Linked DNA regions of Macaca mulatta. The protein of the gene in region 1 purifies or fractionates together with the protein of each later gene. This does not show direct contact. Links are inferred from orthologs where the notes say so. Each region holds a gene or a part of one and is shown in the gene's direction. Other genes may lie near its edges. The genes, in order: RAB3GAP2 and VAPB.

Evidence for each region.
Region 2: the proteins of RAB3GAP2 (region 1) and VAPB purify together in Homo sapiens (affinity purification with mass spectrometry; 4 studies listed by BioGRID and IntAct, counting the BioPlex papers as one, with this or other methods). This does not show direct contact. The link is inferred for Macaca mulatta from reciprocal best matches to the Homo sapiens genes RAB3GAP2 and VAPB.

The regions. Positions count from the first base shown.
Region 1 is NC_133406.1:77,944,762-77,950,672, reverse strand, and holds part of RAB3GAP2 (rab3 GTPase-activating protein non-catalytic subunit), read left to right. Parts: intron 1-332; coding exon 333-407; intron 408-715; coding exon 716-934; intron 935-4,169; coding exon 4,170-4,259; intron 4,260-4,831; coding exon 4,832-5,053; intron 5,054-5,911. UniProt on the Homo sapiens protein: Regulatory subunit of the Rab3 GTPase-activating (Rab3GAP) complex composed of RAB3GAP1 and RAB3GAP2, which has GTPase-activating protein (GAP) activity towards various Rab3 subfamily members (RAB3A, RAB3B, RAB3C and RAB3D), RAB5A and RAB43, and guanine nucleotide exchange factor (GEF) activity towards RAB18.
Region 2 is NC_133415.1:111,190,643-111,197,253, forward strand, and holds the start of VAPB (vesicle-associated membrane protein-associated protein B/C), read left to right. Parts: upstream 1-2,334; 5' UTR 2,335-2,512; coding exon 2,513-2,570; exon of another isoform or gene 2,571-2,619; intron 2,620-2,669; exon of another isoform or gene 2,670-4,798; intron 4,799-6,611. UniProt on the Homo sapiens protein: Endoplasmic reticulum (ER)-anchored protein that mediates the formation of contact sites between the ER and endosomes via interaction with FFAT motif-containing proteins such as STARD3 or WDR44.

The DNA.
Region 1 (5,911 bases):
GCTACCAGATGCCTTAGCAAGCTGAACAGTGAGCTCAGAAGTGCCACCATCTATAGTAACTGATGAGACTGTGTCTTTACAGTACACAAAGAACACTACTTGTTTTAAAAGTCAGTATTTGTACCACTTTGTAAAGCTTGACTTTAAAATTGGTTGACAGTAAATAAAAGAAGGAACTTAAATATGCTGATGCCTTGACTTTCAAATTCTTGCCATCTATTCAGTGTGGAAAGTCAGCCGAACGGGCATATTGTATCCTCGTTCTTGTTTTGCTGATGGTAACTACAGCAGTTTTCCTGCAGGGCCTAATTATGTTCCTTTTTTAAAAACAGGATGTGGGAATGAGTGACACAGCAATGACATCTTTCCTTGGCTCCTGTTTGGATCTTCTTCAGATCTTAATGGAGGTAAAAGAGGTGTATTTTCATTCTGAACTGCTCCTAAGATATTAAATATTCTGCAAACCATTGCATTTAATAAATGACTATTTTAATGAGGTTGTTTTTCATTCCCTCATTTCTAAATTTTGACTTAAGCCTAAAAGGTAGTGATATTTTCTCATTAAATCCTTCTTGAAATTAGACTTTGTGTTTATTACAATTTGGGACACTGTGCAATATGAGTTTGCACTTTGCTGCTAATAAACTCATTAGGATATTTGTAAGCTATTATTTTTCCATTACTAAACACAGTCCTCCATTCTTAAAACCCTTAGGCAGATGTTAGCAGGGATGAAATACAGGTGCCTGTGCTGGATACTGAGGATGCGTGGCTTTCCGTGGAAGGACCCATCTCCATAGTGGAACTGGCCCTTGAACAGAAGCACATCCACTACCCACTGGTGGAGCACCACTCCATCCTGTGCTCCATCTTGTATGCAGTCATGAGGTTTTCTCTGAAGACCGTGAAGCCACTGTCACTTTTTGACAGTAAGGTAAGTACCTCAAAGGATTTCAGAGCTATTTTGGAGTTGCAGGCTTAGCAGACACATGGATTTTCATATTTAATAGAAGCTGTCCAGTACTTTTGTGACTTGTGTCATTTGGTGTGAGGTTCCAACTCCCTCATTCCCTGCTTGATTCCGTTCTTTTTATTTACCTTCTGTACTGCTCCCCTTGGGGAGTTTTGCCCTCTCAGCTGTCTGCTCTTCTCGTTCTCCATATTATTCCTGGACAGACTCATTTTCTCCCTCTTGTATATCTCTAGGCCTGACCAATCCCTAGAGTTGGAGGCATGCATTTCAATTGAACTTCTCTCTTTGAGTGTCTTAGAGGGCTTCAAACACCTCATATCTAAAATATACCTGCAAACCTATACCCCCATCCTGCCCCTAACTTAAATTTGCTGTTCCTTCTGAATTCCCTGGCTTGGTTATTTTATTAATGATGTCATCATTTTTGCCCTGGCAAAAACTAGAAACTTTGAAGTTATCTCACCAATTCCTTACTTCAAGCCAATTTTCTTCATTGTAAATTCATTCTTACAAATTCTTCCATAGATCATACCTGTCCATTTCTCTCTATGACTATACCCCTAGTTCAGGCACAATCATCTTTGCCTTGGCTATTAAAACAGCCCTTTCCTAATCACCTGCCTCCAGTTTCTCTCTCTCCAGTCCCATGCTGCAAGAGCTGTCTTCCTAGGAGACAGGTTTAATTGTGTTAGTTCTATACCTAAGATTTTATTGGCTCCTCTGCAGGATTGAGTCCAAACTTGTGAGTAGAATATGTTTTTACATACTATATTGTAACTTGCACAGTTTAGCTGCAGTAGATAGTAAAATCCTTTCCTTCCCCATGCAGCTGTCAAATTTTGAGAGACAGGACACAAACTGTTGGAGATAAAAATGTCAACTTTATTACTTAGCTTTTTACTGATAGAAGCTGGGTTAGAGAACACAGCTTACGCTTGTGGGAAAATGGGTTTATTATTTCACCCTTAAATAAGAGACTCCCGAATAGGCGCGGTGGCTCATGCCTGTAATCCCAGCACTTTGGGAGGCCAAGGTGGGCGGATCACTTAAGGTCAGGAGTTTGAGACCAGCCTGGCCTACATGGTGAAACCCTGTCACTAGTAAAAATACAAAAACTAGCCAGGCGTGGTGGCGCAAGCCTGTAATCCCAGCTACTTGGGAGGCTGAGGCATGATAATCACTTGAACCTGGGAGGCAGAGGTTGCAGTGAGCCGAGATCACACCACTGCACTTCAGCCTGGGCCACAGAGTGAGACTCTGTCTCAAAAAAAAAAAAAAAGTATAGATTTTGAAAAAAAAAAAAAGTTAGTATATCTTTGAGATTATAAAGGATAAGAGTACTTAAAGGTTAAAACAGAGAAAGAAATACCAAAATAAAGTGCCCAGCTCAGTATTCCCCTCAGAAAAGGTCTTTGTGAAACCAGAACATACCCACAATTGGACGAGCACAGTAATGTTTAATTTCCACCCATGTCATGCCAAGACTACCTGAGACAGCTGGGTGACACTCATCTGCAGAGAGCTAGTACGGTTGAGTGGCTAGTGAAACAATGCCAGTGCTACCATTTGCTAACTAGAATTATTTAGATTTTCTTACTCTCAGTTTTCTCATTCATAAAGTAGCAGTGACTCCAGCGCCAACCTCATGGTTGTTGTGAGGGTTCCTTGTATTCAACATGAAGTACGTAGTGTCTGGAATGTAGTAAATACTGGTACTATTATAGATGCTTATAGCTAGGACCACCAGGTGGGAACTATCGAGTAACAGATTGTGAATGTGTGCTAAATCTTTAAATACTTCTATCAGTGATGCCCAAAATGCCATGGGTTGCCCTGTAAGTCTGGTTTTTCTTATCACTAAAGGATGAGTAGCTTTAATCTGCTTGGCAGTCACAATAGATGACCTAGAATCACAGATGATCAGGTATGGAAGGCACATTGGAAGATGTGCTTGCAGGATGTATCCTTGCTAGGATGACCTGCATGCAGAAGAAGAAACAGTAACCCAAGATTGGGGGTCAGTTACCCAAGACAACCTGGTTGGAAGTGGTGAGCCTCAGACTAGACCCAGGTCTTTCAACTCAAAGGCCAGTGCTCTTTGCTCTGTATTACATTTCCTTCCAAGGAACTTCTGAAATCCTGTTTCCTGATATTCCGTTTTTACTCTTTAGACACACATCTGTTCTTTTAAATAAGGTGTTTTTAAACAATTCAACATGTGTTTTTAAAAGGACTCAGAGGTTGGGCGCAGTGGCTCATGCCTGTCATCCCAGCACTTTGGGAGGCCAAGGCGGGCAGATCACCTGAGGTCAGGAGTTTGAGACCTGCCTCGCCAACATGCTGAAACCTGTCTCTACTAAAAATACAAAAAAATTAGCCTGGGCTTGATAGTACATGCCTGTAGTCCCAGCTACTTGGGAGGCTGAGGTCAGAATCGCTTGAACCAGGAAGGTGAAGGCTGCAGTGAGCATTCCAGCCTAGGCAACAGAGTGAGACCCTGTCTCAAAAAAAAAAAAAAAAGATTCAGGGTACATATATGTATTACTTAGCTATTACTGCAGAGCAAATCATCCCAAAGCTTGGCTGAAAATACCAAACATTTATTATCTCACAGTTGCTGTGGGTCAGTAATCTGTGTTCTCCTTATCTAGGTGCCTCTGGCTTAGTCTCTCATGAAGCTGTAGTTAAGATGCTGCATCTGAGAGCTCAGCTGGGATGGGGAAAGGGTGACTCACTTCCAAGCACAATTGTTGGCAAGATTCATTTATGCCACATGTGCCTGTCCATACAGCAGCTCACAACATGGAACCTGGCTTCCTGCAGAACAAGTGAGAGTGAATATGAGTGCCTCAAGGCAGAAGCAGCCTTTGGAACGTGGTCTTGGAAGTAACATGCTATCACCTCTACCTACTTCTGTTTGCTAGCAGCAAGTCACCAGCCTACATGCAAGGAAAGGAGACTATAGGAAACATGAATACCAGGAGGAGGGGATCACTGGGGATCATCTTAAAGGCTGTCTACTCCATACTAGATACTTGTTATAAAAATTAAAGGAAGAATTCTAAAATCTTACTGTTCAAGGAGAAATGAAAATCAACCATTAAGTGACTTAAGTTTTAAACAGATCTTTCTCCCTTTCCCCCCTTCCCCCTTCATAATCTACACTCATCAGTTTTCTTGCTGTCTTTCTCTTTAGGGAAAAAATGCATTTTTCAAAGACCTAACTTCAATTCAGTTATTACCTAGTGGGGAAATGGATCCAAATTTCATTTCTGTACGACAACAGGTAAATTACAGCTATTGGATTTTGTTTTTGTTTCTTGGAAAAAAAACAGTAAAGGAAAAATCTAGCTTGCTTTTGAAAAGAATGACCACTTTCTATCGCAAGGACAGAAAACCAAACACCACATGTTCTCACTCATAGGTGGGAATTGAACAATGAGGTCACTTGGACACAGGAAGGGGAGCATCACACACCGGGGCCTATCGTGAGGTGGGGGGAGGGGGAAGGGATAGTATTAGGAGATATACCTAATGTAAATGATGAGTTAATGGGTGCAGCACACCAACATGGCCCATGTATACATATGTAACAAACCTGCATGTTGTGCTCATGTACCCTAGAACTTAAAGTATAAATAAATAAATAAATAAAATAATATTTTTAAAAATGACCACTTTCAAAGTATTCTTGAAAGCTAGTTGTTTACCTTTAAATGATGTGTTCCTTTTTTGATAATTAAACAATTTCATGGAAAAGCCACTGTAAGTGACAAAAAAGCTAACAATACTTTGATTTAGGTATTTTAAAATGAAACAGTAACAATATATTGCTGTATCTCTTTTTCCATTTTCAAGTTCTTATTGAAAGTTGTCAGTGCAGCTGTCCAGGCCCAACATTCAGCCACAAAGGTCAAAGATCCCACAGAAGAGGCCACACCCACTCCTTTTGGGAAAGACCAAGATTGGCCAGCTCTAGCTTTGGATTTAGCCCATCACCTTCAAGTTAGTGAAGATGTTGTTAGAAGGCATTATGTTGGGGAGCTATACAACTATGGAGTTGACCACTTAGGAGAAGAGGTAACATGACCCTTTGAATGTTAATTGGGCTCAAGTTATAAAATTGATAGTTGGAATAAAGACTCTCCAATGAAGCCTTTTGCTCTTCCTTTTGTTGGAACATCTAGGTACAAAAATAGAACAATATACTATTTTTTAAAACATAAAATTATAATCAAATAATTCCTGCAGTGTGCCAGGCCTGCCCCTATGCACAGGGATATAGCAGTAAACAAAACAGACAAGGTTCCTTCCTCATGAACTTGATAGTCTGCTGGTAGGAGCAGAAAAGCAGGCTACATTTTGCATTGACTGGTAGGTGCTATGAAGAAAATAAAGAGGGCCGAGTGTTGTGGCTCACACCTGTAATCCCAGCACTTTGGAAGGCTCAGGCGGCAGATCACTTGAGCCCAGAAGCTCGAGACCAGTCTGGGCAATATAGCGAGACCCCATCTCTAAAAAGGAAAAAGAAACAGGATCATATGAATAAACAGGAGCCACTACAGTAGAGTGGGCAGAGAATGTGACATTTGAACCGAGCCCCTAAGGAGAAGCAGCAGCCAGCTACTCAGAAACTGGGGGAACAGTGCTTGAGACAAGAATTACAAAGGCCCTGAGGTGGGGACTAGAATGACTAGGTCCAGGACTAGAAAGGCCAGTATGGCTGACGAAACATAGTAAGCAAGGAATAAAGAAGTGTGGCATGAGGTAGGGAGGCTGGCCCAGGCCATGGCTGTATCCTAGGTCTCGGAGCCCATGGTTATTCTAAGTGTATTCAGAAGCCATTAGAGGGGCTGGGCGTGGTGGCTCACGCCTGTAATCTCAGCACTGAGAGAGGCCGAGTTGGGTGGATCACTTGAGGTCAGGAGTTCAAGACCA
Region 2 (6,611 bases), on another chromosome or scaffold:
GGTGGGTGCCTGTAATCCCAGAGACTCGGGAGGCTAAGGCAGGAGAATCGCTTGAACATGGGAGGCAGAGGGTGCAGTGAGCTGAGATGGCATCACTGCACTCCAGACTGGGGGACAGAGCAAGACTCCGTCTCAAAAAAAAAAAAAAAAAGATACAGCAAGGTAAAACTGTAGAACATGAGAAGAGGGGGAAAAGACCAACAACCTATGAGGGAACGATGTAAGATTGTCACTGGACTCCTGAGGAGCAATGAGGGGGAGCAGGCAAACAGTGGATGGCAATCAACTGTGCTGAGAGAGGACAGCTGTCATTCAAGCAAGGAAGCCAAAACATCTTTCAAGAACAAGGACAAGGCCAGGTGCAATGGCTCATGCCTGTAATCCTAGCACTTTGGAGGCTGAGGCTGGAGGATCACTTGAGCCCAGGAGTTTGAGACCAGCCTGGGCAACATAGTGAGATTTTACAGAAAATAAAGAAAATTAGCCTGGCATGGAGGTGCATGCTTTTAGTCTCAGGTACATGGGAGTCTGAGGTGGGAGGACTGCTTCAGCCTGGGAGATACAGGCTACAGTGAGCCATGATCATGCCACTGCACTCCAGCATGGGCAACAGAGCAAGACCTCATCTCCAAAAATAAATAAATAAAAAACAACAAAAGACAAAAACGAATGCATTTGCAGACGAACAGAAACTGAGAGGGTCTGCACCAACAAACCTACAAAAAAGTAAAATTTAAAGGATTTACTTCAGGCAAAAGGAGAGTGATCCTGTTCATGAAAGCTAAGATGCAAGAAGAAGAATAAAAATGGTAATTGTGTGGCTGAATCTAAATTAATGTTGACTGTATAAAACAATTTAATAATGTCTCCTGGGGTTAAAATGGCAAAGGTTAAACTTAACATACACTACATTAAGGTGTCTAATTTAGAGGATGGGTGATTAAAGTACTCCGAAGTCTTCATATTTTAAGGAAACAGGGTAAAGACATTTTTACAAATATTTAAACATACTGGACTTTCACAAGGTAAGCATGCATGCCCAAAATTTTCAAGTAACCACTAAAACTTAGAAATAGAGTATGTAGGTGAAGAAAATAAGAATGAGAATAAAAATAAACCCCAAAGAAGAAAGGGGAAAAAAAAAAGAAAAACAAAACAGGCAGGACAAGTAGAAATAACAAAATACGATGGTAGAAATAATTCCAGATATATTAGTAAATATAATAAATGTAAATGGACTAAATGCTACAGTTAAAATACAAAGATTATTCTTCCAAGAAATCTGTTTATCATGAAAAATTTCAAGTATACAGAAAAGTGGGAGAAACAGTACAAGAAAACCATGTACCTGCGATGTCAAGTCAGCCATTGTTAGCAATTTGCCATGTTTGTTTCACCTATATTGGTATGTATAGGAGACTATTAAGAACACCTACTTTACTTTCACAGTGAACATAATATAATGAAATACAATTTAAACGGTAATCATGATGTAGAGTATCCATTTTTGAGGTCAAGCAGATCTGGATTCTCCAGCAATTTTTAATTATTTAACTTACTTGTGTGGTTATTTATTCAAAATGTCTCTTCACTAGGCTACAGTAAAAGGATTGGAATCAGGTTAGCTTTTCTGATCATTGTATTTCTAAATATTTATTGCATAAACAAATCGAATTTACTAGTAAAAATTCAGCACAGTGCCAGTTGCCTAATAAACATTTAACGTAGAGTAGCTTGTATTTATTGTAGCTGCTGTTGTCATTGGAAGCATTCAGCAGAGTGATACGAAATAAGCAATAATTGGTAGTTTATTATATTTATAATTATTATTTACAAGACGTCACAGTGCTTAGCCCATATCACTCACCCATAAACATCATGTTTATACTAAGTACTTTGACTATTATTCAAAGTCTCTAACAGTGCCTGGCACTACATAAGCAAGAGAAAAGTGGAAGTTTATTCTAATTGTTGTTACTGAATAAAGCATTTAACACGAGGCTGGCCCCCAGCGGACCCTTAATAGTTTTCGCGGCTGCAGTCGTAGCCGGACTACAAACCCCGCCTCCTGAGCAGCGCGAAGCCCCGCCCCTTGCTGCCCTGCAGTTCCGCCCCCGTGGCTTGTACCGCGCCTGCGCACTGTCCCGGGTGGGGCTCCACGCGCGCAGCTTTAGTCCCCGCCCCTGGAGCTGGCGGCGCAGGGCGCAGCTTCCCGCCGCCCGAGCGGGCCAGCCTGCTGCGTGCGTGCGTGTGTACGCCTGTGCGTGCGTGCGTGCGTGCGTGCGTGCCGTCAGCTCGCCGGGCACCGCGGCCTCGCCCTCGCCCTCCGCCCCTGAGCCTGCACCGCGTAGAACGACCCCCCCCAGCGCGCGCACCCCGTCGAAGACTCTCACCCGTGCCCCGACTGGTCCCCCCTTTTTTGTAAAACTTAAAGCGGGCGCGGCATTAACGCTTCCCGCCCCGGTGACCTCTCAGGGGTCTCCCCGCCAAAGGTGCTCCGCCGCTGAGGAACATGGCGAAGGTGGAGCAGGTCCTGAGCCTCGAGCCGCAGCACGAGCTCAAATTCCGAGGTAAGCCCCAGAGGCCGCCACCTTCATGCTTGCGGCCCCCGCCCCAGTGCTGGAGGGACGGAGTCCGGCGCGGCGGGTGACGTCGGCCCTCGTCCCCACCCCGACGGCGCTGTCGTGGGGGCCGGCGAGGCCGGGCCGGGCCTTGGCGCTCAGCGCGCGCCCCAGAAATGCGCGGAGCGGCCGGGACCCGAGAGGGCTGGTGCAGGAGCTAGGGCCTCTGCCTCCTCCCCGACCCCCAGCCTCCTGGGACTTGCCTTCGAGGCACTTGTCACTTTGCCTTGTAACTTAGTGACCAGTTTGTGATCACTTTAGTGTGAGCCTCCGCCGCTGCTGTTGCCTGGAAGGTTCTTCCCCTGCTCTGTGACAGTGTTGACCTCAGGGTTTAGTTGAGGTATCACCTGCCCAGAGAGGCCTGCTGTGGCCACCCAGCCCACCGTGCACACCTGCTCTCCTGCTGTCCCCATTCTGTCACTGTTTCGTGGTCAGCACCGCACTTTTCGTACTCAAAATCACTGTTTCAACACTAGAAAGGAAACTGCATGAGGACAGGCTCTTGTCAGTTCGCTGCTGTGTACCCAGCACACATTAGACGCCTAGGAAATACCTGTTGAACCAACAAATGAACCTCCTCAGGCCTTCTGATGGGATTGGTCCCATTTTCCGTTCACTGCCTCCCTCATGGTGCCTCCTGGATGCAGCTGAGGGAGGCTGCCAAGGTGCTGGGATCCTTTTGCTCCGCAGAGCTGCCTGGAGCAACACCTGCGGTGGTGGGAAACCATGACCCTGGTTTCTCCCAGACACTATTATCTCTGTAATTTGTGCCTTTATGTTTTCTATGTTGTTCTTTTTTTTTTTTTTTTTCCTACCTTCACCAGGGCCACGAGGTAAAAGGTCTGACATGCTCATTCCTTCTTTTTGCTTGTATCCAGTGATGTGGAAGGCACTAGGGAGGTGATGGATGAACAAGACAGACAAGGCCTCTGCTCTCAGAGAGCTTAGCTTCCGACGAGGACAGACAAACCAGCACACAACATCGTTACAGATCCGTGGAAGGCACTGGGGAGGTGATGGATGAACAAGACAGACAAGGCCTCTGTTCTCATAGAGCTTACCTTCCGACGAGGACAGGCAAACCAGCACACGTGATCTTTGCAGATAGTGCTAAGTGCTGTGTAGGAAATGGAACAGTTTGACTCCATGGAAGTGTACTGTAGATTGGAAGGTCAGGTCTCCACTATATCGCTAGCAGCGGGCTCACAGTAGATGTTCAGCTGGTATTAATGAATGGCCAGAGGTTCTTCAGTTTATATGTCCTATTGGGAAGTAGTGTAGGGTAACTTATGCAAAGTTACCCAGTTGGCAAGTGGTACATTTGAACCCAGACTTCAGAGTTCACGCTGTTAACCGTTACGCTGTCTGATCGCTGGGAAATACTCCAGAACGGTGGCTGTCACTTTGCCTTCCAAGTTAACAATGTGAAATAACTCTGAATTTACAGAGAACCAAAGGCTTTCCAATTAAAATGAAAAAAACAAAAAAACCCCACCAAACCTACCGGGGATCGAAATTCCAGGATAGTACTTGAGGTTTCATGATGCGCTCATGGCTTTCTGGGAACGCCAGATTGGAAAAGGAGGCCAGGTGGCTAAAGTGGTGAGCCATGGTTTCCACTTGAGTTGTCTGAAGTTCTTTTTCTGTCTGGGAGGCCTGGCTTGGCTTCTCCTGAGAATTGGTGGGTTCATTCGGTTAGTCCACAAACATTTACTGAGTACCTGATCTGTGTGTCAGACACCCGGAGAAGCCAAGTCATATCAGCTGTACTCTCCCATTTTCCCTCAACCTCCTCCCAGTACTTTAGGGAAGGGGACAGATGAGAACAACAGCCAGGACAGGACAATGATGTAGGGTAGTTCAGAGTGCCCCAGGAGCATTGAGGAGGTAAGCTCCTGAAGGAGGTGTCATTTGAGCTCAGTTATAAAGGTTGAGTAGAAGAAGGCTCAAAGAAGGAAAGGGTGAGAACATTTCAGACAGAGGAAATTGCATGCACAGAGGCACAAACACTGAGATGACTGGGCTCCTTTGGGATGCCCAGTAGTTCTTTTTTTTCTTTTTCTTTTCTTTTTTTTGAGATGCAGGTCTTACTCTGTCACCCAGGCTAGAGTGCAGAGACGTGCTGTCTCACTGCAACCCCCGCCTCCCAAGTTCAAGCGATTCTCCTGCCTCAGCCTCTTGAGTAGCTGGGATTATATACAGGCGTGTGCCTCTACGCCTGGCTAAAAATGTATTTTCAGTAGAGACGGGGTTTCACCATGTTGGCCAGTTTGGTGTCAAACTCCAGACCGCAAGTGATCTGCCCTCCTTGACCTCTCAAAGTGGTGGGATTACAGGCGTGAGCCACTGTGCCCAGCCACCACTAGTAGTTGTGAATGACAGCAACAAAGAAAATTTGTTGTGGTTGCCCGGCAAGATGGCAGACAAGGCTGGTGAGTAGACAGGAGTCAGACCTCAGTCCCTTTATGCATAGATGCAGCCAGTGTCCAAGTTAAAATTGTGTTGCTTCTCCTTGAGCAGTCCTTCCTTGCATTAACTTTCTGAAAACCCCCAAATCCCAGTACAAACTCTGTTGTCTAATAGGATGTTATGGAAAGAGGCACTCATTTGAGAAAATTCAAGATTTTGTTCAGTTGTTTTACTGAAAGATGTGTGACCTTAGGCCACTTCACTCCTCAAAGCCTGGGGTCATTCTTTGGTCAATGGGGATGATGCTCATGTCCACCTTGCCTCTTGTAGAAAGTGTTTAAAAGGAATGACATGGCTGTTAGCGGCTTTGTAAGTGCGTAGTACTATACAGAGATTAGACAACCACTTAACCACTTAAGTGGTTTCATCACTTCTGTACCTGAAAGGTGTGGCAGAGAAGAGGGATCATTCTGGCCCTGGATTGGCCAAAGTAATAATGCCAAAGTCACTGGATATTTTTGCTGGGGAAGTGGTCCAAGAGAGATGGTACCAAATTGTTGAAGGCCTCTGGCTTATAACTTTAGAAGAGACATCTGTGTGTGTTTTTAAACGACGTCATGAGTTGTGTTGTTTGTTTTAAACTGAATGCTAAGACAGTACAATTAATAGAGACTCAATACCCTGACTTACTTAGAGATAATTCATTTCAGGATGAAAACTGGCACATTTAACTGGTTTCTTCCAGGTTACTCAGGGTGATGACTCTGATTTCTGGTGGTTCACCTAGATGAACCTCTGAGCTAACTACTTAAGAAGGTAATAACTAAAATGCCCATTCAAAGGAAAAATTATCTTTTAAATGCAGCCTAAGTTGATCATATGGGATTGTATATTGTCAGACTCTTTAATCTTGGGAATTTTGTGTGGTATATTAAATTTAAGGATGTTACAGAAGAAAAAACGCAAATTTATATGACCTTATGCAGTTTTATAGGAAGTACTGTGCTGCATCATAAATATGGAAAGGACAAAGCCTGGTGGCTTCCTGAAAGAAGCATGACACAGGAGGATTTGCCTAGACTTAAGGTTGATTTTCATGAGATATTTTTAGTAAGTGAACATTAAGCTCCTTCAGACTAGGGGTATCTTTCTGAGAGAGTAAAAGTAAATGTTTTTGTTTTTTGGCAGGGTCTTGCTCTGTCACCCAGGCTGGGGGGCAGTGGTGCCATCATAGCTCACTGTAGCCTCAAACTCCTGGGCTCAAGAGATCCTCCTGCTTCAGCCTCCCTAGTAGCTAGGACTACAGGTGCCACCATTCCTGGCTAATTTTTGGATTTTTTTTTTTTTTTTTTTGAGACGGAGTCTTGCTGTGTCGCCCAGGCTGGAGTGCAGTGGCCGGATCTCAGCTCACTACAAGCTCCGCCTCCCGGGTTTACGCCATTCTCCTGCCTCAGCCTCCCAAGTAGCTGGGACTACAGGCGCCCGCCACCTCGCCCGGCTAGTTTTTTTTCTATTTTTTTAGTAGAGACGGGGTTTCACCGGGTTAGCCAGGATGGTCTCGATCTCCTGACCTCGTGATCC